Linked DNA regions of Arabidopsis thaliana. The protein of the gene in region 1 interacts with the protein of each later gene in a pairwise test. Each region holds a gene or a part of one and is shown in the gene's direction. Other genes may lie near its edges. The genes, in order: AT5G40640, GB2, FEI1 and SMO1-2.

The links.
Region 2: the proteins of AT5G40640 (region 1) and GB2 interact in a protein complementation assay, tested with the Arabidopsis thaliana proteins (one large-scale study listed by BioGRID).
Region 3: the proteins of AT5G40640 (region 1) and FEI1 interact in a protein complementation assay, tested with the Arabidopsis thaliana proteins (one large-scale study listed by BioGRID).
Region 4: the proteins of AT5G40640 (region 1) and SMO1-2 interact in a protein complementation assay, tested with the Arabidopsis thaliana proteins (one large-scale study listed by BioGRID).

Annotation. Positions count from the first base shown.
Region 1 is NC_003076.8:16,273,868-16,282,052, forward strand, and holds AT5G40640 (uncharacterized protein), read left to right. Parts: upstream 1-3,174; 5' UTR 3,175-3,477; coding exon 3,478-3,571; intron 3,572-4,039; coding exon 4,040-4,148; intron 4,149-4,241; coding exon 4,242-4,434; intron 4,435-4,519; coding exon 4,520-4,653; intron 4,654-4,732; coding exon 4,733-5,021; intron 5,022-5,101; coding exon 5,102-5,208; intron 5,209-5,294; coding exon 5,295-5,430; intron 5,431-5,504; coding exon 5,505-5,700; intron 5,701-5,803; coding exon 5,804-6,053; intron 6,054-6,138; coding exon 6,139-6,391; 3' UTR 6,392-6,542; downstream 6,543-8,185. Other genes in the region: AT5G40645 (RPM1-interacting protein 4 (RIN4) family protein), read right to left, coding at 6,543-6,566, 6,696-6,884, 7,008-7,016; SDH2-2 (succinate dehydrogenase 2-2), read left to right, coding at 7,595-8,185.
Region 2 is NC_003075.7:16,985,245-16,991,866, reverse strand, and holds GB2 (GTP-binding 2), read left to right. Parts: upstream 1-2,819; 5' UTR 2,820-3,027; coding exon 3,028-3,073; exon of another isoform or gene 3,074-3,187; coding exon 3,188-3,327; intron 3,328-3,736; coding exon 3,737-3,819; intron 3,820-4,181; coding exon 4,182-4,386; intron 4,387-4,479; coding exon 4,480-4,548; intron 4,549-4,656; coding exon 4,657-4,749; 3' UTR 4,750-5,027; downstream 5,028-6,622. Other genes in the region: AT4G35870 (early-responsive to dehydration stress protein (ERD4)), read right to left, coding at 1-1,535; AT4G35850 (Pentatricopeptide repeat (PPR) superfamily protein), read right to left, coding at 5,186-5,284, 5,373-5,474, 5,578-5,655, 5,758-5,823, 6,086-6,179, 6,345-6,421, 6,543-6,622. UniProt on the Arabidopsis thaliana protein: Intracellular vesicle trafficking and protein transport.
Region 3 is NC_003070.9:11,246,677-11,255,394, forward strand, and holds FEI1 (Leucine-rich repeat protein kinase family protein), read left to right. Parts: upstream 1-2,941; 5' UTR 2,942-3,683; coding exon 3,684-3,783; intron 3,784-3,873; coding exon 3,874-4,009; intron 4,010-4,084; coding exon 4,085-4,156; intron 4,157-4,233; coding exon 4,234-4,305; intron 4,306-4,404; coding exon 4,405-4,476; intron 4,477-4,770; coding exon 4,771-4,842; intron 4,843-4,925; coding exon 4,926-4,997; intron 4,998-5,224; coding exon 5,225-5,313; intron 5,314-5,406; coding exon 5,407-5,565; intron 5,566-5,671; coding exon 5,672-6,004; intron 6,005-6,079; coding exon 6,080-6,328; intron 6,329-6,404; coding exon 6,405-6,538; intron 6,539-6,621; coding exon 6,622-6,840; 3' UTR 6,841-7,239; downstream 7,240-8,718. Other genes in the region: AT1G31410 (putrescine-binding periplasmic protein-like protein), read right to left, coding at 418-861, 978-1,139, 1,275-1,457, 1,546-1,680, 1,844-2,092, 2,188-2,327, 2,408-2,669; AT1G31430 (Pentatricopeptide repeat (PPR-like) superfamily protein), read right to left, coding at 7,349-8,718.
Region 4 is NC_003075.7:11,952,850-11,959,502, reverse strand, and holds SMO1-2 (sterol C4-methyl oxidase 1-2), read left to right. Parts: upstream 1-2,584; 5' UTR 2,585-2,807; coding exon 2,808-3,143; intron 3,144-3,221; coding exon 3,222-3,544; intron 3,545-3,885; coding exon 3,886-4,033; intron 4,034-4,126; coding exon 4,127-4,159; intron 4,160-4,319; coding exon 4,320-4,379; 3' UTR 4,380-4,663; downstream 4,664-6,653. Other genes in the region: AT4G22758 (PPR containing protein), read right to left, coding at 181-385, 682-1,026; AT4G22755 (methylsterol monooxygenase 1-3), read left to right, coding at 5,894-6,217, 6,502-6,653. UniProt on the Arabidopsis thaliana protein: Non-heme iron oxygenase involved in sterols biosynthesis by catalyzing the removal of the first methyl group at the C-4 position. 4,4-dimethyl-9-beta,19-cyclopropylsterols such as 24-methylenecycloartanol are the preferred substrates.

The DNA of each region.
Region 1 (8,185 bases):
GTGACATGTTAATTGTGTTGTTGCTAGACTTTAAACTTGGATATGTGTTATTAATCGATTCATCATCAGCTTCAGGATAAAGATAAATAGATAATATAGTTACCCACAAAAACATGGAACTTGTATATATGTCTTTTGCATTCTTTAGGTTATAAAAACATGGAATTGTGGAGCGTAATGGGCTTGAGATTCAACCTCACGAAAGCAATAAAGAGAAATAGAAATCTAAAAGTCTGCCGGTCAACAGACAAATATGACGAGAGATACACTACGCATGTCAATATATTTGATGCGATTTCCTAGAATCAAATATTATTATTCTATAATTCTTCTGTTAATTATGTATAAAAACATACCGTAAAATCTAAAACTTATGACGGGATAAAAACATACTCTAAAGATGTCTAAAGAGTACTTTAATTTCTTCAAGTTAATGTTTTCTCGTACAATATAGAAAAAGGGATTCGAAATAGATACGAATCACGCGATAGGTCACAAAAAATATTAAGCAGAGTACAAGAGTTACTAATGCAAGCACGTTATGCATGACTAACTATTGTATGTAAAAGAATAAAATCTGCTTATATGTAAAAGAGATTATTTGGTACTTGTTTAGTTGTTTAAGTCGTCGTGAGCATATAGCATCGTTTAGTCTATTATAATTTAATTGTAACTGCGGAAAAATTAAAAGTAAAAGAGATATAAATAAAGTTATCAAAACTTATCAAGTAGTTAGTGGGTTCTTTATTTGTCAACACACGAAAAATCAAATTTGCTTGGAATGGTTGATATTAGATTAAAATCTCTAAAAATACTCAAAAGTAATTCCAAATATGAAACATAGAACACTAACGTCCGATGTCAACCACTTAACACTAAAACAAAGTTGATTAAATAAGCTGAGGTCTCACGTTAAGTAATTTAACAATGGCATAGGAAATAAAGAGTACACAACATAAGCTATTTCTCATTGCACAAATAACTTTGAATGTATTCTATTAAATATCGTTTGGAACACAAGGTTGATTCTCGGACAATTTCCAAAAAATTTGCTCATGTGATCTTGCTCTTTTCTCGCTATACCAGTTCATGGTAATGTTTCTATTAGATAGTGACTAGTCGGCGTAGTAGTTTGAAGTTTCAACAAATTATAAGTTTAGACATAGGCCCAATCTTCTCTCGCTACCAGTTCATGGTAATGTTTCAACAAATTATATATAAGTTTGATTTGAAGTTTGTTGTCTTCAAGTTTTTGTTCCGTACTGATTGGGCCAATGTCTAAAGTACACTAGGCCGTCCAAAAGAGTCTGAAATTTTATTATAACTTAGACACATTTCATATGGGCTTCGTATCTTGGAGAATCATGAGTTGATCGTGATGCCGTCGAAATTTGAAGACTTTGGCCGGCTTTCTCCATCAATTTGGTCGGACTTTTATATTTGAGAGTTAAGTTTACTTTGTCTTTATAATTTTTTTTTTCGTAAACTATATCATTTCTGCTTGTCTATGTAATTTATGACAAGTTGATTTCAACAAGAAACAAAAGTTAAAAGTTGAAAACTATGATATTATATATGTAAATTTTTTCAGTTCTTTTGTTTTTATTTAATTAATTTTCATTTCTCAATTTCAAATTCTTCATATGTATTTTTCCTTTTTAATGACTTTAATAATATATTTATTCCCATTTTAAAAGCGTGTCTCATATGTTGTTTATTACATTTAAAATAAACAATTGTTAATAATCGTTTTTCTTATTATATATATTTTAATTAGATTATAAGACAAATAATCTTATCCTATAACCTTCAAAAAATCAAATTATATTATATTATTCAAAAAAAAAAAAATCTTATACAAAAACCTTCAAGTCAATCGAGTTTTATATGTTGGACTTATAAGACAAATAATTTTATAACAACATTCATGATACCATGTTAAGTTTTATATGCTTCTACTTAAAACTAATTGATTATAAGTAAAATTAACAAATCATTTATACACTTGTATTATTATAGGTCCATCACACTCCTCATGTATGATTTCAAACAAAGTGATTTTTGATGAGCTGGAGGGGTTAAACAATTTTAATTAAAAAATATATAAAAAATACTAAACTTTGTTTGACCAGTCGTACCAAGTTGAACCATGGTCTACCAGTTAATCCAATTTCAAATTATGTTTTTGTTTCAAGAAAAAATAATACTCCATCTGTTCTTTTTTGTTTGATTGTTTATAAAAAAAAATTGTTTCTAAAAGATTGATTTTTTAAGTTTTCCATGTAATATTTATTGGTTAGTATTGGTGAATTGTAATTTTCAAGAAAAATAGTTAATTATCATTGGTTTAGAGGTATAGAAAACTGTAAAACACTAAAAATAATATATTTATAATCAATATTTAATATATTTTTTTAATATGTATGTTTTTTCTAAACAATCAAACAAAAAAGAACAAATGGAGTAATTCAGAAACCATAGAAGAGGGAGCACCTGTCTTCGCTTTTGATTGCTTTTATATTTCTTTTTCCCTTCTTTACTTCCGATTAGGTTAGAATGCATAGAGCCATAGATTATTAGTCTTATCACTTATATTATTTATTTTTGTATATAATATTTACTTTTATAAATAATTATAAATCTTATACTATTAAATTTTATAAACAGATTTATTGTAATATTTTCCAATGATACCATTTAATATATAGTGATGTTTCATATAAAGTTCATTTTAAAAATGAAAATTATGTGTTTAGCAAAGGTGGCAATAGCTTTTAGAAAATAAAGTAGAAAATAATGGGTTTGCCAACTGCCACATAAAAAAAAAACCTCTCTTTTAATATATACTTAAATGTAATAAACAATAAGATAATGATAATGTGATTCTTTAACTGTCGCTTAGTGTCGACGTTAGAAAAAAAGAAACACTAAAAATGTTCGGTTCATGTCGTTTTCTCCAATTCCTTTATCTCGTGCTTCTCTTCTCAATACGAGGAGGAGGATGTGTTGGCCCATGCGTTAAACAGCAGCACAAAAACCGATCACCAAGAAACACACCCGATTTATTTAGCAGCACACGAAATTGAAATAATATGTAAATTAAAAAATATACTCTTAATTTATTCAGTTTTAAATGTATTTTTTGGTTTAGGGTTTATAGACGGTTTCTTAACCGTCAAATCTAATGTGTGTGTGACATATTCTTCTCTCTCTCTCTCTCGAATCTTTCGTGTTGTTTGCTGTTCAAAATTGAAATTTTAAATATTAAAAAAAAAGAAGAAAACTTGTTCTGCTTCTTGTCGTGTCCGTCACAGTTTGAATTTCTCTCTCTCTTTCTCTCTTCCTCATAAAAATCTCTGCTTTACCTTTTCTTTTCAAAGGGTTTCATTTTGATTCTAGGGTTGTTCTAAATGCGACATTTTGACTGATGGGTCTTTGTTGAATTTGAAGAGAGCAAAAGAGAAAGAGATTGTTCTAATGGAGCCTCCAACGGGAATCTTGGCTTCTCTGTGGCAATTTATACTCTTCATTCCTTATTTCACTGGTTTACTGCTTCTCGGTGTCATTAAAGGTAACAAATTTCAGACTTGAGTTCGATGATGTTGACATGAGATTGGCTTACTTGATTTGTGTAGGCCTCCATTAGGGTTGTTTCATTTATTCATCAATTTGCTTCAACAGTTACTGAAATTAGCATTTCTAACCAATTTAGCGATCTTCAATGCCATAAAGTTCCCTTTTTTTAATTGAAGTAAACACCTAATCCGTGAACGTTGTTCTGTTTTAGAGATCTTGCTCACTAGTTTAGTGGCTTAGGATTTATCTAAGAGTGATTAATTGGTACATAACATTCATCAAGTGCTTCCGAAGTTAGTGAATTTGGTATGAAATTAGTTTCTTCAGTACTATAAAGTTCTCTTTTTTTAATTGAAGCAAGCCCCAAAGGCCAAATCCGTGAGTTCTTTTACTAGTCTTGTTGACAAGTTTTGTGGGAATGAATTGTTGTGAACGTTTCTTTACTTCTTTTTTGTTTGCTTAGGTATCGTTTTATGCCCGCTTATATGCCTTACTGTGGCTATTGGAAACTCTGCAATCATCTTAGGCCTTTTACCAGTACACGCGATTTGGACTCTATATTCGATAGCGAGGTACTTACTTCTTTCTGAAACAATCTCTGCCCTCTATAATAATACCATTGTTATCTCTTTCGATGTTGTTGAAGTGTTTTTGTTTGAAATCAGTGCTAAACAGTTAGGACCAATCCTGAAGATCTTTCTGTGTTTATGCGTTCCTCTTGGTGTCATTCTCTGGCTTGTGGTTAGTATCTTAGGAAGTGTTCTTGGAGGAGCTATTTATGGATTTCTTTCTCCAATATTTGCTACTTTCGATGCTGTTGGTGAAGGGAAGTCTAATCCGTTTTTCCATTGCTTTTATGTAAGTCTCTTTTTCTCCATGTCTCGTTCTTTATGTTATTGAAGATTAGACCTCAACACCTACATTGTCTGCTTTCACAATTTAGGATGGAACTTGGAGCACTGTTCAAGGCAGTTTCACCGTTGTTTGTGATTTTAAAGATGTTTGCTTTCACTCCTACTTTTCTTTTATGGATGATCTTCGAACATCTACTGCGAACCGTCACTATTATGAAATAAGGTCTTCAGAAAATTTCAGTAAATTGTGTGTATTGATTACTTAACAGTGCTTTCTTACAGTTTTCACTTATATTTCTCAGGTTACTTCAAATTCCAGGTGCTGTGATTGTTGCGGTTCTCGGAATTCTTGTTGATTTCCCAGTGATTTCACTCTTAGCATTGTGTAAAAGCCCGTACATGTTGTTCAAAGGGTGGCACCGTTTGTTTCATGATCTCATTGGACGTGAAGGTCCTTTCTTGGAAACAATGTGTGTCCCAATCGCTGGCCTTGTGATCTTACTCTGGCCTTTAGCTGTTGTTGGAGCAGTTTTAGGATCCGTGGTCTCTAGTGTCTTCCTTGGTGCTTATGGCGGTGTAGTCTCATATCAGGTTATTAAACAATGACTTTTTTTTTTGAGGAAAATGTGAATGCTGATGATACTGAATTGGTTTCTCTTGTCATAACACAGGAGTCATCGTTCTTCTTCGGTCTCTGCTATGTTGTTGCTTCTGTTTCTATTTACGATGAGTATAGCAACGATGTTCTTGATATGCCTGAAGGTTCTTGCTTTCCCAGGTTTGTCTCCATTGGCTTATCTAGCAATCTTTACCTCTCTCTCTTTCTTTTCATTCTAAAACAGTGGTTTTATGGTTTTGTAACAGGCCAATATATCGAAGAAACGAAGAGGGCGCTAGTACGGCATTTTCTGGTGGTCTTTCAAGACCGAACTCCTTCAAGACAACTCCATCAAGAGGAGGATCAAACAAAGGCCCAATGATTGACCTGAAACCGCTTGATGTACTCACTAGTCACACTCTTCTTTTGGTTATCTTTGTATTTAAACCTGAAGCCTATTCTTTTGATCTTTGCAGCTTTTGGAGGCTCTATTTGTGGAATGTAGGCGGCACGGAGAGATTATGGTAACGAAAGGGATTATAAATTCAAAAGACATTGAAGAAGCTAAATCTAGCAAAGGCAGTCAAGTGATCAGCTTTGGCTTACCTGCTTATTCTCTTCTTCACGAGCTTTTACGCTCTATCAAATCTAACTCCACCGGTTTATTACTCGGTATGTTTCAACAGTTTTCTGTCAATTTTCATAACCGCATTATCTAGTAACTATTTGAACATCATCAAGAAACAAACAAAACCGTTTCTGTGTTTTTGTTTAGGTGACGGTGTAACGGAGATAACTACCAGAAACCGCCCAAAAGATGCGTTTTTTGATTGGTTTCTGAATCCGTTTTTGATCCTTAAAGACCAGATCGAAGCTGCAAACCTATCCGAGGAAGAAGAAGAGTATCTTGGTAAATTGGTATTACTCTTTGGAGATTCAGAGAGACTTAAAAGCTCCATTGTTGAATCTGAATCTCCTCCTCTAACTGAACTCAGAAAAGCCGAACTTGATGCCTTTGCTCGCAGGTAAAAAAGGCAAAAAAAAAAACACACACAATCTTGTTACGGCTTTCTACTTCGGATTCTAAGATGTGTTTTTGGTTTTGGTTAGGCTTCAAGGATTAACCAAATCAGTATCAAGATATCCAACATTCAGAAGACATTTTGTGGAACTAGTCAAGAAACTATCAAATGATCTAGACAATAAACATAACCGTTTTGAAGGCGGTTCGAGATCAGTTCCACGTCCCGGGAAAACGGTGTCTCGGATTTTCAGCCAAAAATCGTTCAAGAAAAAGACAAGTAGCAATGGGTCAGATCAAGATTCACCAAACAGAGGGTTAAGAGACATTGATATTGTGTAAGTAAATGTTATGCGACCAGAATTAGACCGAAACTTCGTCTGCTTTTAGCTCTGTAATGATAAATTTATACAGATTCCAAGTGAATATGAAACTGTTTCATTTATCTAACAAATGTTTTACATTCAGCTTTTGCTTGATGATGTGTTGTTTCTCAGAAACAGCAGAACCGTTTCTTCTGCAATAGAAATAGCAAGCTTTTAGTTTTTCTTTCACTTTAGACCTCATTTGATCTAAAACATAACAAACATAGGCTGATGTTTTCGTTAGTCATAAAATCTTGAGCAATTGGGATTAGAAATGTTACCGTAGGTTCATCTTGAGATTTGTTATTGTCACGGCGTTGTGAGGCGGCACGACCACTTGCGTTTGTCTTTTTGTCGTCTCGAGCTTTAGCGAATATAACCGTAAATCCTTCGGCTGATGCTGGATCGTTCACGTCCCATTCTCCAAATTTTGGTAATGGTCGATCTTGTTGTTGTCGTTGTTGATTATTCTGAAAGTTTCCAATCACAAAAATGTTTGATTTCTATTATAATCCAACGAAAACACACATGAAAATGCTATTTTTTGTATCAAATTTGTGAAACAAATGAGAAAGAAATGAGAAAGATCTTACCGATGCCATTCAAAGATTGTGTAAAAGATGCAAACAGAACATGAGATGATCTTTCTTCAAACAACAAGAAAACTTGTTTGTCTTCTCTTTTAGTTTTTGTTTTCTTAAAAGAATTTGATTACGTTTAAAGAATTAGAATTTGAGAACAGATTAGCGTTTTCTGAAAGTTTAAATATAGGTTAACGTTTTAATTATTGTTGAAACTTGAAAACAGAAAACACCAATCTTTTGTAGCGAAACGGAACGCTTTTTCTCGTACCGTCTTTTGTTTTCGAGTGAACTTCATCGTATCAAAACTCGCCACGTGATCTACACACTTCTCGAGGCGAACACGCGCATTTCAGAACTTATCCATTAATCTCTGTGATTAACCTATAAGCCGGTATTTATAAACGGTCACGATTTTCCAAGTTTTTTAATCAACGGTCGTTATTACGTAGACGAAGCTAAGCCTCACATCTACAAATACGTATACATACATTTTTACATAATAATTAATTAATAATTACAGGTTATTAACAAATTAATCATTTTTAATAGACTATTAAAAAAACAATTTCATTTCATTTGCTCTCTTCTCCGAGAAAATGGCGTTTGGTTTGATCGGAAGAGTTGTTGGAACCAAATCATCACGATTATCCACGGCGGCGCGATTGATTCCGGCGCGATGGACATCAACAGGATCAGAAGCACAATCGAAAGCTTCAACCGGCGGCGGAGGAGCGAGTCTGAAGACGTTTCAGATCTATCGATGGAATCCAGATAATCCTGGAAAGCCAGAGCTTCAAGATTACAAAATCGATCTCAAGGATTGTGGTCCAATGGTTCTAGATGCTTTGATTAAGATTAAGAACGAGATGGATCCATCGCTCACTTTCCGTCGCTCTTGCCGTGAAGGTATTTGTGGTTCGTGTGCTATGAACATTGATGGATGTAATGGTCTTGCTTGTTTAACGAAGATTGAATCTGGATCTAAAGAGACGACGATTACGCCGTTGCCGCATATGTTTGTGATTAAGGATTTGGTTGTGGATATGACGAATTTTTATAATCAGTATAAGAGTATTGAGCCGTGGTTGAAGAGGAAGAATCCAGCATCTGTTCCTGGGAAAGAGATTTTACAGAGTAAGAAAGATAGAGCTAAGCTTGATGGAATGTATGAATGTATTCTCTGTGCT
Region 2 (6,622 bases), on another chromosome or scaffold:
ACCATCTTCAAGAGAGCTGCTCTTTGTTCCCCAGACACTGTTAGATGCCGCTCAAACTTGGAAAGATACGAGAGCGCAGAAGGGATTACAATGTACATACTAACAAATATGAAGACGTTGGGCAGGAACTGAAAAATCAGAGATCCAATCCAGCCAGAAGTTTGCACCCAAGTGAGCCAATACTGAGCACTATCCAATGCTTCAGCATTGAAGATTCTCCCGGCACTTACCAATGCACTGATCAAGGCCAATGGGGAGCTGAAAAACACAAGAATCAACAGTAGAATAGTATTAACAATCACTCTTCGCACAATAAGAGCAACTTTTGTCAATCCCAGATGATTCCAATAAATATCAGTAGCCAAGGGTGCTCTGTCCACTTTCCACTGGTTTCTCTGTAATCGCAGCTCTGTGACAGAGAAGAACTTTCCAGTACGCCTTGATCTCTCGTTTCGAAAATCCTGAACAGCCTTATTAGCTGTGTACACATCCTTAAACATCACAAAAGCAACCCCAGCGCCTTGTGCTCGTCCTTCTTTATAAGCTGCTAACTGAGACTCCAAATCAGCTCTCAGTTCTTGCAGCTTCCTCAGTTTTTCATCATCTGTAAATCCAAACCTCTCTGTAATCTGAGACCACAAAACCTTCACCCTAACCCACAAAGAACACACACAGAACACTAGTCCGTTATCTCCAACATTCTCATACTCATCCGGTAGAAGCCTAGAGTCCATCTTGGCAACTAACCAAGTAATCTCATCTCGAACACGAACCAACTCTGTAGCAAGATCATCCAAAGCACACAAATCCATGGGAACAATAAACTTATAAACTTTCCCAGGGTACTTCAGCCTAAAGCAATCTTCAAACTCAACTCTATCAGACCCTAAATTCTTAGGCAAACCCTGCACCATTATAGTAAACACAGCAGTAGAATTCGCGTTCGGGTCACTGATATTCCCATTCCCATCTCTAAACCTAGTAAACTTCAACCTAGCTTCAATAGCAGCGATTCCAAAATGCGAGATAACAACAACAATAACAACAAACACAAAATGCAGCCAAAGCAAAGCTGAACCTTTCTGAATATGCGTAATCATCGTTTTCGAAAGCTCATCACTCAACAAAGCAGTCCCAGCATATAAATTCAACGGAAGCATAACCGAAACAGCTAAAACAGCAATGGAGAAAAGAAGCACAAAGCTTCCACCTTCAATTAAAAGAAACTGAGCAGCATCAGCACCACAGTGACGAGCGATCTCGCGACACGTGGCTTTCCAAACGGCGAGGAGCTTAGAGAAGAGAGCAGAAGGACCAGGCATACGACGGTGGTCGCTGCGTAGCTTAACGAAGAGAAAGATGGAGACGCAGCATAAGAGACCAATGACCGAGATATTAAGCAGATACTGAATGTTGCCGTACCAAGCATCTGGGATTTCAGGTAAGTCGCCGGAAGATGGAGGAGGAGAGAATGAATTATCTATTGTCATTGATGAAATCGGTGGCATCGCAGCTGGTGAAAAATTGCGATTCATCGCGAATTTCTCAACCAAATTGAGAAACCCAAATCTTCGAAGTTTCTTCAGAGATTCAGGATTTATACAACAAGGTTTTGATCAGGAGAAATTTGGGGGCTTTAGGGTTAGACTTTGGGGGAAGTAGATCGACGAAGATGATGGCAAAAGTAGAAAGGTAAATAGAAAAGGAGGAACAAGGAATGCTATCGCGGTTTCGAATCTCTCAAAAGATTCTTCTCCTTAAATCATGAAATTTAATCCCATCTTTTTAAGATAAATACACCCAAAAAAAACGAATTAACACAACTAAAAAATATAAATAATTTGATAGAAGTATATCAAATTGGTAATTTACAGAGTTTTTATGAATAAAACGATAGTTCTTTAAACGATAATTACATATTCTCTAAATATTTCGTGATTAGTAGAATAAGAGAATATAATCAAATTCATAACTCTTGTATATTCATTTTAATCAAATTCTCCTTAAAGCATGAAATTAATCAAATAATTTGAAGGTAAAATACCCAAAAAAATACGAAATAACATAACTAAGATCGGTTTGAGTTTGGGATGAAATAACATCCCCTGTTCTCTAATGGATGGAACTCTGTTTCGAATTTGCTTCTCGAATTTGCCATTGTAGACTATAAGCATTTGTAAGGAACTCATCTCTAATGTAGGATTTGAGTTCTTCTTATCTTCCCACTAGAACATTCATCTTAAACACAGTTATGTAATTTCCATAAGAGATATGAAACAGAGCATACTACCGTGATAATCCGGACACAATTGATATTAGTAGCCTTGTATCAAGGTACGTGTGTATTCCCCATCATATAATAAAAGAAGCTTTTGCTAATGCAAATTTCTGGTAAGTTCACAGTTTTGATGTGCAAGTTCTTTTGTATCATCAATTTAGCGATTATGGACTGCGCCATGCTTCAGATGAATAGAAAAAAGAAACTTATGCTGGTCTCGAAATCCACTAACCAAGCCATTCAACATCAAAGAAAAAAGCCCACATTATAAAAAAATAAAAAAGCCCACTTTAAACTATCAAATGCCCAACAATGGATGATGCACTAGTCGAGTCAGAGTGGACGGAGCCAAAGGCAGAGATGGATTTTAAGCTTTAATTTGTTTCCCAGATATTTTTCATCTGGTCCCTCTGTTTTTAAATAATTAACTAAAACGACTATAATAATTAATAAATTATACTATAGAGTATTTTGTGTGGATTTTTATTTACTGTTGAAACTTAAGGATACAAAAGAAAAACAATTATTCAGATAATTCGTCATTAGATCCCTTTAATTTTAGTAATTAAGTAAAAAGATTATAAAAGATGAGAAGGAGAAGATAGCTTCTTCATCGAGAAACCTCGAAATCAAAAAGCACGTCGGTGACTTGTACTCTTCAATCTCTTCTTCCTCTCTTTCACATCTCCTTCTCTCGAACCCATCGACCTGCGCTAATTCATCATCGACCTTGCTCAAATTCATCAACCATGTCTTACGATTATCTCTTCAAGTACATAATCATCGGAGACACAGGTGAGAGACCGATCTTTCACCTTTCTTAATTCCCAATTGTTTTATTTTTCTGGGTTAAATCCATTTCGTGCCGATTTTCATGTGTTTTCGTTGTTGTTTTTTTTGTCGTTTCAGGTGTGGGAAAATCGTGTCTGCTTCTGCAATTTACTGATAAGAGGTTCCAACCAGTCCACGATCTCACCATTGGTGTTGAGTTCGGTGCTCGGATGGTCACCGTCGATGGACGCCCCATCAAACTCCAAATTTGGGACACCGTACGCTTCCTCTCTCTTCTCTTGGTCGTAATTAGGTCATCAGGGAACTAATCACGTTTTATCGATTAGGATTGTTTTTTTTTTCTCCCTAAGGCAGGATGTGATTAAGAAGATTAATTGTCATAATCAATTCAATTTCTTCGTTTTTATATAAACAATGCCTCATTAGAATTGCCAATACCAAAAATTATGTTTGAAAATCATGTCCAGAGACTCAAAGTGGGGTAAAATTTCAAAAAAGTTAATCATTGCACGGTTCTTGATTAAGTTTCATAGGCTTATTGTAATAGAAGCTGAGTTCACCAGTGCATTCCTTGTTGTGATTTCTTCTGGTCAATAGTTCTTCCATTAGATGATGTATGTGTTGGAGTTGTGCTTTCTGATTAAAGTTTCGTATGATATTTTTTAGGCTGGACAAGAATCTTTTAGATCCATCACCAGATCATACTACAGAGGAGCAGCCGGAGCTTTACTGGTTTATGACATCACCAGGTTAGTTTTTGCCTTGCGACAATATATATCAGCTCGAACTTCTGAATTCCCCAGCAAGGTTTTGGAAGTGATTGGTTCTGTATTTGTGATTTGATAAACCTAGACTGTTGGAAAGGTTTTGGAAATTGGGAAGTTACTTTTATCTGAACAAAATCCTTGGCTATAATATTGGCAATGCTTGTTTGGGAGGATGTTAAGTTAACCATCCATCTTAAATTCTTGCTAAAATAGATATTTTTCCTCCATTGTTTTGGAATTTTGAAAGTTATGAAGGACATGAAGAATTGCAAGAGTTTTATCATTGAGGTTTTTCATGCTTTGATCTTTCTGAAGCTCAAAATTCTTGGTTCTTTGGGTTGCAGGAGAGAGACGTTTAACCATCTGGCAAGCTGGTTGGAGGATGCTCGGCAACATGCAAATCCTAACATGAGTATTATGCTGATTGGGAACAAATGTGATCTTGCTCACAAGAGAGCTGTTAGCAAAGAGGAAGGTCAACAGTTTGCCAAAGAACATGGCCTGCTATTCTTAGAAGCATCTGCAAGAACTGCTCAAAACGTTGAGGAGGTGACATTTCTTCCTTGCAACTCTTTTTCCCCATCCTGTTATTTGGCTGTAATCACATGGAGACTTTTGTCTTCTTTTTCTGGATTCCAACAGGCCTTCATAGAGACTGCTGCCAAGATCCTCCAGAACATTCAGGATGGTGTCTTTGATGTATCCAACGAGGTAATTTCCTTGTTGAATCTGGCAATATACTTAGTCTTCTGGTGTTCTCTAATCCCTCGATTGTGTTACAATGTGATTCAATTCCCTTGGTCTCTCTAAATTTTGCAGTCATCAGGTATCAAGATTGGTTACGGGCGTACTCAAGGTGCAGCTGGAGGAAGAGATGGTACGATCTCTCAGGGAGGTGGCTGTTGTGGTTAAAAAATCCTCGAGAGAGGTGTCACATATCTGCTGTAATCTGGTGATTCAGAAACTACTATTGCTTCTATTTACCTCTGCAAATGGATACACCAGAATGTATAGTTTCTCTTTCTTTCTTTCTTTTTTTCTCTTTTTCCCAGATTGTCTTTTATCAAAAAACCAAACGGGTGCATTTAAGAGTGAACAGGCTGATCTTTATAAACCAAACAGGCGTTGGCTTATTTAAAACGTTGTCGCTTTGTATGAAGCTCTCAAGGTTAAGTAATTGAAATCAAATCAGAATAATATCCAGTCATCATCTAGGTGAAATTTCCTTATTCATCTAAACGAACTGGTTTTAAAATACCCAGATGGTTCACAGAGATCCCAATAAGCAAATAGAAGTAGAAAACGAAGAAGCCATGATACCATCTTTCTTCCTCTTGGTCCCTTTGCTTTAACGCCTATTAGGTAATGTCCCTTCCCTAAGCCGCAAGTTATTGTATGTTCGCGTCACTAACATCAGTCTCGGATCATCCTCTGGTATTTCGCGTTCCTATGATTACCACACCACAAAAACCATCAATAACTAATACCAAGAGAAAGAAAGTTTGTGGTCAAATAAGAAAAAGGTTTTTTATTACTTTCAAGCCCTTGTAGTAAGCTTCAACAGCAGCTAGTGTTGGTAGAATATTCCGAGCTAGCATCAGATCCCATATCATATTTGCAACTGTGTACCCTCCCGTCTGCCATAAAGAAAATGTTTTTTTTTTTTTAACTTTCACTAAGCCAACTCTTTATATCAGTAAGATATTTCCAAAGTTTTTAGGGGAAGTTCAAGATTTTTACCTTTTCACCAGCGGCTTTGAGTAACAGATTGCTTCCAGTTCTTGGGTCTAAGAAGAAATTGCGTTCGTTCATTTGGATCTGCATTTACAAACAAATTGTCATCAGGCTCTACTATTGGCCCGTGTTTTGTTTACTTCATAGATTCTTTTTTTCAGTACAGCTCGAGCCAATAAGCATTACCAGAGTGTCCTGAGCAATCTTCATTCCATTATCGGTGTATCCTGTCATAGCTCCTTCTATAAGCGTCTGTAAAAATAAAACAAATAAATTGACATCTTCAGCATATACATATCACCCAAAGATATGTTGAACCAAGTATGGGAAACAGGACAGAAGCATAATTCTCTTCGACTAATGCGTTAGTTGAGAATTTAGATTTATTTGTATATACATTTGCGGGGTTTGACAATTGAGAATCAACAACTATAAGACATATATAGTAAAGAAGACGTTCACTCTCAAAGCAAATATAGAAAACACCAGTTATGAGGTCAGATCATTGTGTTACCGTGTATAGTTCCATGGCAGGGATTTTGTCTGCGCTCATGTAATCTTGAAACAGTTTGAGACCATTCTCAAAGTCTTGCGAATGTAGATAGCACCTGCGTAGATATAAAATAAGATGCATATACGTTAATCATGTTTTGATTCTCAACGAGAGTTAATAGTGTAGTATACTAGTAACAAAAGTTAATTTCGTAGCTAAAGACTGCCTATGTTTTAACATCTAGATGCAAATTAACATCAAAGTGTGTGTTCTATTGTACCTCATGATTTGTAGCATGCAGTAAGTGTCAGTATCTTTTCCGTCTTTCTTAAGCATCTCAAGAAGAGCTTCCGTTGCCTGCCATGAGGAATTGCTGGTAAGATGCAAAAATAAACTCCGAAACTGGCTTTTCTTATCTTTATCTTTATTCCCACTAAGTTCAGGACATTTTGGAATCTAGATAGACAGATCATCTTACTTTTACATCCTTCAGATCAGCGAGAGCACTGAATGCTACGTGATACACAGTCAAATTCCTCTGCAGAAACCTGGTCCTGT
Region 3 (8,718 bases), on another chromosome or scaffold:
TGACTCGCGTTGATTACGAAAACTTGAGGAATGTGAAAACGCTTCGGCTCTTCATAGCTCATTGTTGGGCTGATAGTCCCAAGAAAAAGAACATTTAACTTTCCCTTGTTCATTTTCAAAACAAAGCATTCATTAACACCGTTTTACATGATATTTACCTCTTAGATGGCCAATAAATTAAATAATGTTAGGTTATATTAGGCGTTTTGTGTAGTTTAATTTAATTTATACACTTGTTTTGGCATCTATAGTGTTTGAACTAACGACTAACTAGTAACATGAGCAAAGGCGATCAGCCTCTGGCTCTTCATGACATGATACTCTGTTATAAGGAGATAGAAAACCCCTTATGTTAACCAACATGAAGTTGCTCTATGTAATCATACAAATGATTCCATTTCCACTTTTGTCCGTCTCTCAAATGTTCTTATTCATCTCGGAGTCAAGCTTTGCCCTAAATCCTCGAACCTTAATTGAAACAATGTCCTTTAGTTTCTCCACAAGGCCAGGTCTTTGGCTTTGCTTCCTTACAGTTTCAATCAGAAGCCGATATTCCGATAGCGTAGCCTCTGGTAAAGGTTCCAAGAACTCACACTTAGACAAGATCTCCGGAGGAGGAACACCTGTGACCAGGTTTGTGTCCAGTTTTGTTCTGTCTTTCTTTGTTTTTTCGGGTTCTGTAACCAGAGGACCATCAAGAGCTGAAGGAGATGCACCAGGAATTACTTCCCGTGTGAATGGTAACGATCTTGCAGGTTGCAAGCAGAATTCTATCCACTGGTTGATTAATGGAGATGGGCCTCGGACTCGTCCTCCTCTTTGTTCTGCTTCTTTACCAGAGTCAGAAACAGCCGGGATCGCCTTGAAAAACAATTATGCTTCACGGTTTAGTGTCCAGATATGTTATATCGTCTTTAGAACAAGAAGCATTCAAGATATCAGATGAAGGGTTAAGTGATTTTACGACGGTAACTTACCCATAGATCAGCCCATAAGGTGGCACCGGATTTGGGAACAATCACTGTAACATTAGACATACGTTTTGCGACAGGGATAACATCGCTGCTCCAACCAACAGTGACCCAGACATCTCCGACATTGAAAGCTTTTAAATAGTTGTTACTATCAAATAGTCTAATCTATAAGCAAAAGGGGAAACAAGATCAGCCACCATTGTCATTTTTTCTCAATAACTATAGAGGTTGAGTGAAACACGTCAGCCTAAACTCATCTGTTCTCTTTAGGGTATGGAGAGATAGTAAAGAGGTAATAACCTGTTTCATGAGTGATGCCAGATTTTTCTCCACTGCTAATCTTCCGCCAGGAACTTGTGAATCCAGGTCTGTCGTATTGTATGATGCTCTCATGTATTTGAGAACAGCACCAACAACCTCTCTAGGAGAATTCACCATTGCGATCCTTCCTGCAAGCTCGGGTCGCCACAGATCAGCCCAGTCCTAAATTCAGCAAAATGTTCAGTGATATTCACTTCTTTTAAATAGGAAAACACTAAGACAGCATTTAGCAACAACAAAGTATACCAACCTCTATCGGTGCCAATTTATAATTCTGAAATTTGCTCTTTTTGTATGCTATAACCATGGTGCCCCAGCGGTATGGCACAGCCCACGTTTCACCGTCAGGAGCTTTTTCTCCCGCATAGTTCCTGCGGAGATAAATCTGAGACTTTCTAAGTCATGAAATGAACCCTATGAACATTCCCAAGCTAGCAGAGTACGAAAACAAAACACATGAAAGATTATGCCTATTAAAATCTCTCAAGCTAGTGTTCTTTCAAAAAGACTCATATTCATATTGTTAAACCACTGATTTAAATTCTCACCTTCCATTTATCACTCAAGCCTTTATACCAGTCTTGATCTTCTATCCCTTTCATTGGCTCAATTAGCTTTTCCTTAATAGCAAAACTAAGCCAAGAATCACCAATGCTGATCATATCAGCTGCTGCAGTTGAAGCAGCCCCCTTTTTTCCATTCTTACTTGGTTTCGATAGATCGAAAAAGATCTCTTCAAGATTTCCTCGAAACTGAGTCTTTAACCTCACTCTCTTCCCTTGTGAGCTCATAAACTCCTAAATTCCATTCACAGAATCCAACAACATACATTTTCAACTATAAGCTTAAGATTCAAAATAGAAATGGAAACACAGACAAGTGAAACTAAAACCTTGATCCATGATGGTGGCACTGAGCCACGCAAGGCAACGAGTTTTAGCGGGACAGTAAGAGAATACACTTTAGACTTGTACGCTTCGAAATCAGCTTCCAGTTTTTCTTCATCTTCAACTTCATTTAGATTCTCTTCACCTGCAAAAACATTCCATTGGAACACAAAATTCAAATCCATCGAAATCCCAAGAGTGACGAAAATGTTCAATTTCACGCACCAGCTACAGTTTCTGTGTTGATTTCATTCTCTGTAACGACAATCGGCGGTGGTAGTATTCGAGCGGAGGCCGGAGAACAGACGCGGAGGCTACTTAAACCGATGAACAACACGGTCGAGGCAGAGAGACCAACGATCCTCTCATGAAACCGTTCGTCTCGAGAAACTCGTGCAATGGTGATTCCCCTTCCTCCGTCGCGTCGGTTTCCTCCGCAGTAGAAGCTCGCCGGCGGTTTCACGGAAATAATCGCCGCCGTAGCCATCGATATAACGCGATGGTGAAACAACGGACAACAATGGCTTCTAATCTCAAACCGGTTCAATCAAACCGCTGGGCTTATACCGTAATGGGCCTTAAAAATGGGCCCAATGATTTCGACCATTGTAGAGATTAGGCTTAGCTAAGGTCTAGCTGGCAATAATAATTGGGTTTTATGAAGAAAGCGTCGGTTGACACGTGTGGGAGGTCAAGATCGGCACGTGCGAGACCCACTTCGTTTCTTCTCATTGGTCGTATGCTTTGGAGAAGAAAGCATCTTCTTCTTCTTCACACACTCTCTCTCTCTCACTCTAGTTTTCTCTCTCTTCACTCTTACCATAAATCACACAAACAAAATAAAAAGTCGATTCCTTTTTTGTTTTTTTTATCTTCTCCTTAAGTTATATTTTTTTTTTTTTGCTTTACAGCTCAAATTAGTCATCTTCTTCTTCCTCTGTCTCAATTCTTCCTCCTCTCGGATCCATTTTTAGAGGTTCTTATAATTCTTACTAATTCTGTTTGCTTTTAAAGCTATAACCTTTGATATTGTTGGAAAGAGTGGGGTTTTGGGTCTTTTGCTGAATCGTTTTTTGGATTTGTTATATTGTTCGAATCTTCAGTTGTTATTGTGTTATAGGATTGGATGGTATCTGGGAATTTCGTAATCTATGTTAAGCTAGAGCTGTTTTTGAGCTCTTTTGTTGATGATGATTTTGAGATTGTTGGCCGAATTTAGCTCTCGTTTTCTGATTTTAGCAATTGGAAAGTGTGTATTGGTTCTTGTGAGGCAATTTCACTGTTTTGAGTACTCAAAATGTAGATGAGAGCATGCATAAGTTGTGTGGAGACTGAGCTTAATGTGTAGTGTAATTGACAATTAGTTTTGTGGGCTTTCCTTTGTTTTTCAGGAGTCTAGTTTCTTACTTGAACATAGACATGGAATCAACTAATAACTGACAACCAAGAGGCTGTTCTTTTCAAATGATTGGTAGTAGTTATATTATGCTTGGACAGTGCCATGATGGGCATCTGTGAGATGAAAAGCTGCTGCTCATGGCTTCTTTTGATCTCGTTGCTTTGCTCACTATCTAATGAAAGTCAAGCGATTAGTCCTGACGGTACGTCGATATGAATCAACTATTACTATTCATAGCGTCCTGGACCTTTTATTGAGCTTTAATCCTTTATTGCTTGTTTCCATTCTTCAGGCGAGGCGCTTCTGAGCTTCAGAAATGCAGTTACTAGATCAGATAGTTTCATCCATCAGTGGAGACCGGAAGATCCAGATCCATGTAACTGGAACGGAGTGACATGTGATGCAAAAACGAAAAGAGTTATAACCTTGTAAGTTTTCAAACTTGTCAAGGTTTACTGGTTTTCTCTTCAGTATTTGTGCTCCCTAATACTCTTGTTTCGCAGGAATCTTACTTATCACAAAATAATGGGACCTTTACCTCCTGATATTGGAAAGTTGGACCATTTAAGGCTTTTGTATGTGCTCTCTAGCCTTATTCATTTTTATTGCTTAAGAGAGTACTTCGATTCTGATCATCTGTGTGTCATTGCAGAATGCTTCACAACAATGCTTTATATGGAGCAATACCTACAGCATTGGGAAATTGCACAGCATTGGAGGAAATGTAAGCGCTTTTCCAGGATTTTATACTGATTCCACATGGTTTCTGAGAGACCAATTCCAGTTGCTTATGGTCATCAAAATTGTCCAACTGGTTTTGCAGTCACTTGCAGAGTAACTACTTCACTGGACCAATCCCAGCTGAAATGGGAGACCTGCCTGGCCTTCAAAAGCTGTATGTTTTTTTCTCTTCCCTATACGTACTTGCAAGTGCATCCTTCTTTTAGTGTATGCAATATCTATTTGTTTTTTGTTTTCATTTACTTCTATCACCATCTAGGATCATGGTAACATATGGTTGACTGCATAATGTCTTCTCATGCACATTATATTCAGAACTAGTTATACCTAAACTCTTGGTGAGCAATTTGAAAAGCATGATAATGTATTGTTTACTTCAGATTCACATATTGATTGTTCTCTTTTCTCTACTAAAACTGACTTTTGACTTTTTTATTTTATTTTCAAGGGACATGTCAAGCAACACTCTCAGTGGACCTATCCCTGCTTCGCTTGGGCAGTTAAAAAAGCTTAGTAACTTGTGAGCACCTTAATCTCTAACTTCCGCTGTAATTTATCATATTGCAGTCCTGTGAATCTTTCTGTTTCGTTTGTCTTATGAAGCAATGTCTCGAACAACTTCCTGGTGGGGCAAATACCTTCAGACGGAGTGCTCTCTGGATTTTCTAAGAACTCGTAAGACAATAAACACCCTTTTCTTCTTGTAGGGATAGAAAAATAAAGCCTCTAAAGTTACATTTTTTTTTTTTTTTTGTCAATCCTCTAAAGTTACATTTATACAGCTGATCTTTCATATTTCGCTTATATTCGAGATGATTTTTTGAACCACATAACTATTTAGCTAGATTGTATCAGTGCGACTGAAATTATATGATTCTCAAACTGATGCGTTACTACTACAGCTTCATTGGAAATCTTAACTTGTGTGGAAAGCATGTTGATGTCGTGTGCCAAGATGATAGTGGAAACCCTTCATCACATTCTCAATCAGGTAAAAGCAATTATGAATTTCTTGTGATATACAGGTTTTGTTGTGGCTCTCTATCAGTAAAGTTATATTTATTTGGTGTCTTATACTTTATAGGTCAAAATCAAAAGAAAAACTCTGGTAAGCTGCTGATTAGCGCATCAGCAACTGTAGGTGCGCTACTCCTAGTTGCACTCATGTGTTTCTGGGGATGCTTTCTATATAAAAAGCTCGGTAAAGTCGAGATTAAAAGCCTTGCAAAGGATGTTGGTGGAGGTGAGCCGTATTGATTTTTTTTGTACAGATATTATCTCGTTAAATATTGGGAAATTTCATATTTTTCTCTATCTCCTAAATCTTCATTGTGACTTTTTCAATTCAGGTGCGTCTATTGTGATGTTCCACGGAGATTTACCTTACTCTTCCAAAGATATCATTAAGAAGCTGGAAATGTTGAATGAAGAGCACATAATTGGATGTGGAGGCTTTGGAACGGTGTATAAGCTGGCCATGGATGATGGCAAAGTCTTTGCATTGAAGAGAATTCTAAAGTTAAACGAAGGGTTTGATCGGTTTTTTGAGCGGGAGCTTGAGATTCTTGGGAGCATCAAACACCGATACCTCGTGAATCTACGTGGATATTGCAATTCACCAACATCAAAGCTACTGTTATATGATTACTTGCCCGGTGGTAGCCTTGATGAAGCACTTCATGGTATGATCAATCTGCTCTTTATGGCTCTCTTCCATATTATGAATGATTCACTGAGAAGTTTGGTTCTTGAATTAGTAGAGAGAGGCGAGCAATTGGACTGGGATTCACGCGTAAATATCATCATAGGAGCTGCGAAAGGGTTATCATATTTGCATCATGATTGTTCTCCTCGGATTATACATCGTGATATAAAGTCGAGCAACATTTTGCTTGATGGCAATCTCGAGGCACGGGTATCGGATTTTGGTCTAGCCAAGTTGTTGGAAGACGAAGAATCTCATATCACAACCATTGTTGCAGGCACATTTGGGTACCTAGCTCCAGGTACATATGCCTTTTAAAAGTCTTTACTTACATAAAGATTTGATCTTTCAAATGCTGAGACTTTTCCATTTGACAGAATATATGCAAAGTGGTAGAGCAACTGAGAAAACCGATGTATACAGTTTTGGGGTTTTGGTTCTTGAAGTCTTGAGTGGGAAAAGACCAACCGATGCTTCCTTCATCGAGAAAGGCCTTAACGTTGTTGGTTGGGTATGCAAATAAGATTCTTTTTCAATACTGATATTTTGTTACGACAAACTTGACTAAAAAAGCTTTTGACTCATGATTTACAGCTAAAGTTCTTAATCAGCGAAAAACGGCCAAGGGATATTGTTGATCCAAACTGTGAAGGAATGCAGATGGAGAGCCTTGACGCTCTACTATCAATAGCAACACAGTGTGTGTCTCCGAGTCCAGAAGAGCGTCCAACGATGCATCGGGTTGTCCAGTTACTTGAATCAGAGGTCATGACTCCTTGTCCCAGCGAATTTTATGATTCCAGCTCTGATTAATTGCATAAACCCACCAGTCGAAACCTCGAGAAAAAAAGTAAACCGAGTCCGGTTTCCCGGGGAAAGCCTTCAAATGCTATTCGATTTCCGTTTTTGCTCCCCGAGAAAACCTGCAAATACCAACGAAGAGCCATAATTTTCCAGTTAATGGAACAGAGTCTTTGTGTTGTGTTGCCATTTACTTTGCCCCTCCAGTTTTACCAGATTCGAGCCATTCATTTTCAGCCCTTTCTCTTTTTGTTCTGATTTTTGGTATAAAAACTTTTATTTGAACATGAAATTGAATTGTATAGTTGTGACCTTTGTAGAAAAACTACTCTCTGCCTTTATGTTCTTTTGAAATAATCCATGTTCCTTCATCTTCTTCTTCTTCAGTCTCAATCAATCCTGATTCAGTTACAGAGAAGCTGATATCGATTCAAAACCAACATCGATTCAAAACCGGTTCATTAGCAGGGAAACAAATGTTAATGATAAGGGAAGTAGTTAGAGAATGTACAAGAAAGTTTCAGCTATCAATTTCTTTATGTTCCAAATCCAACATCAAATTTGTCGTTTGATGCAGCATTGAGTTGATCTCATCCATTTTTGGGTGTGATAATAGATCATCTCCAACAATAAACTCATGACCAACCCCATCAATCTCGATGGAGCTGCAACCAGGAAACTTTCTGATTCCCAAATCTTTCATTTTCCTTCTCACATTAGTTACATCTTCCCATCTATTAGCAGATGCATATACACTTGCAAGCAGAGTATGAGCACTGGAATCACTTACTTCCACTTTCTCAAGCTTTTCCGCTACCCGTTCTGCTATTTTTACATTCCCATAGTTCCTAGCAGCACTAAGTAAAGAACAGTATACAGGAACTAGAGTTTCATCGCTTTCACCACGCATCTTATCTATCAATTCCTCTGCTTCATCTAACAAACCAGCTCTGCATAGTAGGTCAATCAGACAGCTGCAGTGCTCTGATTTAGGCTGGACGTTATGTCTTTCGGTCATCGAATGGAAAATCTTACGGCCTTCTGCTACAAATCCACCATGATTGCAAGCTGTTAAAACCGCGACAAATGTTATAGCGTCTAGTCTAACACCAACATTTTCCATTTCGTAATACAAGTCCAGCGCTCTTCCTGACATCCCGTTCATCGCAAGACCGTAGATAAGTGATGTCCACGAAGCTGTGTCTCTCTCCTTTATTTCATAGAAAACCTCTAGAGCTGTCTCAATGCATCCACATTTTGCATACATGTCTACAAGAGCAGTACCAACTACTTTATCTACTGTAACCCTGTTCTCATTTATGTACCCATGAATCCATTTTCCTTGCTCTAAAGCTCCCGTTTGCGCGCAACCTGTCAAGAGAGAGACTAGCACGAAATTATCCGGCCTAATTCCCGCAGTTTGCATGCACCTGAACAGTTCCAATGCCTCATCAAACCGGTTAAACTGAACATACCCATTCATCATAGCTGTCCACAAAACAACATCCTTTACAGGACTTCTCTCAAACAAAACTCTAGCCTCATCAATCCTACCAGTACTAACATACCCAAAAACCATACTAGTCCAACACTTAACATTCTTGTCTCTCATCGAATCGAAAACCGCTCTAGCCTTATCGAGACACCCACATTTACAGAACATATCCACCAACGCATTCCCAATCCTAACACTCATTTCAAATTCTGTAACAACAAACCTATAAATCCTTTCACCAATTTCAAGATTCTTCAAAGCCGAACAAGCCGAAAGAGTGCTCACAATTGTACCTTCATCAAACTTCAAATTGCTCTCCTGACTCATCCGCTTAAACACACCAATGGCATCCTCAAACCTCCCATTACCAACATAACTAGAAATCAACCCATTCC
Region 4 (6,653 bases), on another chromosome or scaffold:
TAACCGTTGGTGATTAAAGCAAAACTAGATATCATGGAGTATAGATATTTAATCCAATCAATCTACGTCAAACTGAAAACAACTGATTCAAAATTTCAACCAAAACATCATTTGTGCTTTTATTTTATTAATTCTATATGTAAAAACAATTATTATTTTTGGATAATTAATATATCTTACACTGGATGCTGAAATGTGACTGATGCAATTCAAAGGCAGAATCTCGATCGAGTTTTGGAGTTCTTCCTTCTTTACAGTACTTGTCAACGACAATTTTGATCGTTTCTTCGACGTTGCAACTCAGTTTAACCATTGCTCTTACCGGTCCAGGACTTCCTTCTACTGCTACACTGATTATTACTTTTGGTGCTTCTTTTGTATTACCCTGTTTCGAAAAATAATAACAAAATGAGGTTCTCTGATTTTAGAAATTTAATAGAAATGTCAATTTTTGGTATATTTATCACGATCTGATAACATGAACTGGAGAACTGACTCTAGAATTTGCAGCTGAACTTAAAACTCTTTGTTCAGCCTATATAATGGTTATATTGAAATATTTTATAATATTAGGCTTAAACTGTAAACTTTTAAATCTTTGTGGACTAAATGATGAATTCTCTTACAGAGTTGAAATCATGAATTTGTTGATTTGAAAAAATAGAAGCAAACGACTCTGACCTCTTGATTGATCGGAGATGAAGACGAGGGCGAATATAAGTTCAACAACGACGGAGACGAAGCGAAAACCTCAGAGCGAATCCTAGGCAAGTAAACGATCGGTTTTGTTTCTTCTTCCATCGGTAAACCTCTCATCGGCGATGGTCGCCGCAAGTGATTACTCTGTCCGTCGCGGTGGCGATTAAGACTCGGCTCTGAGAAGCTTCTCTCGAAAACCTTATTACTCGATTTAGAGCGATTATTCTTGTCGGAAACATATCTGAAAGCTGTTCGTCTTGTTCTGGAGCTCCGACCTCCATTTCCTACAGGATTCGAAACTTTTCTCCGGTGAATCGAATCAGACATTTCGTGAATGATGATCTTTGCTTAAGGAGGAGGAAGAAGAAAAAACAATTGAGAGGTTTTGGTGGTTTGCTTGGCAAAGAAGCGAATTAAGAGTTATTCTCTGCTTTTGCTTTGCTTTACTCTTTTATTATCTTCTTTTCTTTCATTTGTATTTTTCAAATGTTTTTCCAAATCAAATTGTTTTTTTTTTTCTTTTTAACATAAGTGTGGATTTTAACATTTAAATTCAAACCGACCAAAAAAAATACACGATTAAAGGTAGTAATATAGACGTGGTTCTTGTAATATAGTATTTATATTTCCTGTCGACGATCGATTCTTTTATAGTATGATATCTTGTGCTGATTCTTACGTACTTGTGTTTATTATAGTAAAATAGAAATGCGTTGAATTGTAGCACTGTATTAGATTAAAACTTCTATGTAATTATGGAGCTAAAATGTTTTCTGGTTAGCATACGGAGTATTTTTTAAAAAATCTATCCTTATTATGGATAAAATGTGTTGGAAAAAGGCAATAATATACTTGTACAAATGAATATAAATTTCTTGATGCATTGTTTTAGAAGATTACTTGGGAGACTCACAATCCTATAAAGTGTAAAGGAAACAAAACTATTGGATTTGTAGAAAAGTTGACACGTTAAACAAGAAAACGAGAAACCCAAACAAGTTTCGTAAAACACAAAAAATCTAAGGTGATAGTGAGAAGCACATAAACAAATGAAAAAAAACACATAAACAATTAGAGAGGAGGGAGACTCAACTAGTATCATCAATTCATTAAATTTTACGAAAGTGCTGAGTAATGGAAGTAATATAAAAAATTTATAACCAAAAACAAGAATTCATCAACGTCAAGAAAAAACAACATAAAATAAAAAGGAGAATTTGTGTGGCTGAGATTGGTCCGAGGTTTGTTTCCACTGTTAAAAGAAAGAACTTTTGGGCTTGATTTAAAGTCATTAATGGTGTGGTCGACTTCTCTTATGCCATACGCACTCATGTTCACGCGTAACGCACTTGTTTTCCACCAAGTATTTAACAACGATCGTTTGTGACCCTTTTTTATGTATACTTGAAACTTAAAAAATATGTATTATTACATTTAAATATCATTTATTGTCATGACGAAAAAATTGTAAGACTTTATAATTTCAAATGTAACGTCACTTTTCGTGATGATGTAATACCATTCTATTACTTAAATACAATTGGCCAACAGCCTCAATTTATTTCAACCTTTTGCTATCTCTATAGTATAATGGTGTCATAAAAATTCATAGACACATTCCACAAAACTCGTGTATGTATATCCGTGTCTTTATATATATGTGTATATCCAAGTGTATAATAAAGTTTTTTTTCTTAAAAAAAAAAACAGAAATTTGTATGCACCATTTAAACAATTAAAGAAAGAAAATTGGGCCTACTCCAAACACAACGCTACTGTGGAGTACATTTTATCCATTTTAATGGCCCAATAATTTATAATGGGCTTTTAGTATGGGCCATTTTGTCCCTCTTTTTTATGTTGTAAGCGAGATCTTGAGACAATGTTAGTAATTTTGGTTTAATCCGGTTCAACAAGTAAACATCACACTTGTAAACTAAACCGATAATGCCACGTCACTACTCCAAATATTCGCCAAATCATAACAGACAAAATCCAACAACAACGACGACACTCTCCTCTCTCACTCTCTCTCTCAATCTCAATCTCAATCTCACGTCAACGACCGTCGCCGTCACCGGAAGGAAACGATTTCATCATCTTCTACAATGATCCCATACGCAACAATCGAAGAAGCGTCGATCGCATTATCTCGAAACCTCACATGGCTAGAGACTCTCTGGTTCGATTACTCCGCCACCAAATCCGATTACTACCTCTACTGCCACAACATTCTCTTCCTCTTCCTCATCTTCTCTCTCGTTCCTCTCCCTCTCGTTTTCATCGAATCATCTCAATCCACCTCAGATTTGTTCAATCGCTACAAAATCCAACCAAAAGTGAAAAACTCATTCTCATCGATGTTCAAATGTTACAAAGACGTCATGAAGATGTTCATCCTCGTCGTTGGTCCATTACAACTCGTTTCTTATCCTTCGATTCAGGTTAATTTCTGGAATTTGGCTTCTAATTTCGGAATTGATGCGATTTAGGTTGATTTTGTTTTTCGTGTGTTGAAACAGATGATTGAGATACGAAGTGGATTACCATTACCATCATGTATGGAGATTGTAGCACAGTTAGTGGTTTACTTCTTGGTAGAGGATTATACTAATTACTGGGTTCATAGATTCTTTCATTGTAAATGGGGTTATGAGAAGTTTCATCATATTCATCATGAGTATACAGCTCCTATTGGTTATGCTGCTCCTTATGCTCATTGGGCTGAGGTTTTGCTTCTTGGCATTCCCACGTTTCTTGGACCTGCTATTGCTCCTGGTCATATGATTACCTTTTGGTTGTGGATTGCTTTACGACAGATTGAGGCTATCGAAACTCATAGCGGGTAAGGAAAAGGAATGGTTTTGAATTGTTTATCTTAGTTTATAATGCGTTGGGGCTATGTGGGAAGTTTCAATAGTGCGTTTACCTTTTGTTGGTGGGGCTAAGGTTAGGCACTAGCCTTTTCTGATGCTTTATTGACTGTAATTAGCTCTAGGTGATTGTTTAGAGACTGCTTAGTTAATCTTTTGTGGTCAACATGAGCAAGAAATCATTCTTGAGATGATAAGCATCTTGTCTTGTTCAAATAAGTATTTGGACAATATGATGATTGCTTGGTGCATGAAACTTGTTTCTCTGGAGATAAATTGACTTGTTTTTTTTATTTTTCGTTTTCTTTTGAAGATATGATTTCCCATGGTCTCTGACAAAGTACATTCCATTTTATGGTGGAGCTGAGTATCATGATTACCATCACTACGTTGGAGGACAAAGCCAGAGTAACTTTGCTTCAGTTTTTACTTACTGCGATTACATCTATGGAACTGATAAAGTGAGTAATGAAACTTCAGTTCTTTTCCGGTTAGCGTCTACTAATTCTGGATAAAAATTTGACAATGTGGGTATATGTTCTTATTTTCATCAGGGTTACCGATTCCAGAAGAAGCTTCTTCAGCAGGTAAATAAATACTCCATAAACTGAGACTAGCTTATCTCTCGGCATACCGCATACCCATAAACGCAGCCATCAAATTGCAAGCTCACATAACAGTATATGTGGTATCTAGTATCATCATATTGATGATATGTTTCTTGATGCTATATCTTATGAGTTGCAGATGAAGGAGAAGTCCAAGAAGAGCAACAAGCTGGTTAATGGAGGAGAGAAATTCGATTAGTAAATCTAAAACCCCTCGCGAGGTTGACTTACCGTAAGTTTCAAGCATTCTACAAATGTAGTCAATACTTAAAAATGAAAGGGTAGTTAGTTTTCTCTGTTCTGGTCTTCCCTGTGTCACATGAAAATGCTCGTGACGAGTTCCTATCTGAAGTTTTTTTTAAAACTCTTTTGGAATTGGTGTGTGTCAATAAATCCTTTTTGTATATTTTAAATGTTACATAGTGCATTCATTGGCTTGTAACAAGTTCCTACTCTGATAGTATTAAGTTAAGTTAAGTATAACTTAAGTATCTAACGTTAACAACAAGGCCCGTCTAGCTCAGTTGGTAGAGCGCAAGGCTCTTAACCTTGTGGTCGTGGGTTCGAGCCCCACGGTGGGCGTTTCTTTTCCTTTTTGTTGCATTTGAGTGGCATGATTTAAAAGGAAAATCCTTACCATAACGATAGTTGCATTGATGATGGGGGTCGATTTCACTCTCGGAAAACAAATCTAATCAAAGAAGGCTAAAACAAGCGAAACACATGCATTTACTAAAGCTGTCTCACCAAACTTGAAAACAACAGTTTTAAGTACAGTAGTAGGTACAATAACTTATTTAGTTGTTACCAACTAATTTATGACTTTAAAATCGAAACACTCTCTTCCTTCCTGTGTTTTTTCAACTAAACCTAACAACACACAGTTTTTCTTTAACACACATTTCCTTGTTCTCGTTGTCTTAGAATTACCATGGACACAGTGAATATGATAATAACTTCAAGAATGGGGTTGTAGCTGTGTGAGGCTATATTTTTTTTTTTGGTTTAATGAGGCTATATTGTAAACTACTTCAATAAGTTTTTACTCTTAAACCAATTCACGAAAGAGTTTTAATGAACTTGATATTAAGTTTTTGTCCACACATATTTTGTGTATCAACGAGTTTTTCTTTTCTAGACGTATGGATCATCACTCTTCGTTTCGTAGATTGTTAAACAATGAAGAAAGGCTTTAGCTATTCAAAATCATTTGGTGAAAAGAAATTACTCCTGATGATAGGTCTATAAATGAATTTGCAACAAATATTTCCGAACATACAATTTTAGATATCTTCTAACCTAAATAACTACTAAAAAATAACAACCTTAGTAACTTTGAATTTTCGTTTTATATTTTTAAAAAACGAAAATGTGACCCGTTCGTATCAAATATAGACGTAAAGAGATAAGATATGTTTTGTTGTGTTCTACTAAAAAGTCAAAAAACAAATACATTGAGGACCCAATTTGGCGGACTTCTCAAAGGGTAAATAATATACCAAAAATTGGAAAAATCAAAAAAAAAGAAAAATCACCGAAATTAATTAAGTAGGTACCATGTTTCGACATTTGTGCATCTTTATATAGTTTTTCAAGCATCCTCATCATACATTTTCCAAAACACATTCAAGACACGTTTTATGAGTCTATAACTCCAAAACAATGCTATAACATAAACCACACAAATTAATCCAGACACAACACTCTCACAATATGATCCCTTATCCAACCGTAGAAGATGCGTCCGTGGCGTTAGGACGAAACCTTACTTGGTTCGAGACGGTTTGGTTCGATTACTCAGCCACCAAATCCAATTTCCATGTATATTGCCACACCATTCTGGTTCTCTTCCTTGTCTTTTCACTAGCTCCTTTTCCTCTTGTGATTGTCGAATGGACCGGTTGGTTCGATCAGTTTAAGATTCAGAAGAAGGTTAAGTATTCGTTGTCTGATATGTTCCAATGTTATAAAGAAGTCATGAAGTTGTTCCTTCTCGTCGTCGGCACATTGCAAATCGTTTCTTATCCTTCCATCCAGGTTACTATTCATTTTAAATTTTCATTTATTCTTTAAAACAAACAACCAAATATTTTATGATATATGTATATTCCTTTTTTTAAGTGTTGTTTTTGCAACGTTTTTTGTGTGAGTGGGTTGTTATACAATTTTGTGCTTTTTTTTTTGGTTATTTAGAGAAAAATCCCATTAAAATATTAAATTGAAACGTTATATTATTGCATATATGTATATACCCTTCTTACAACACTTTTTTTTGTTAATTTGTGATGTTCTTGAGATATACTATATGTGTTAATTGACAGATGGTTGGGATTCGAAGTGGTTTGCCATTACCATCGTTAATGGAGATAGTAGCACAATTAGTGGTTTACTTCTTGATAGAAGATTACACTAACTACTGGATCCATAGATGGATGCATTGCAAATGGGGTTACGAGAAGATTCATCGAATCCA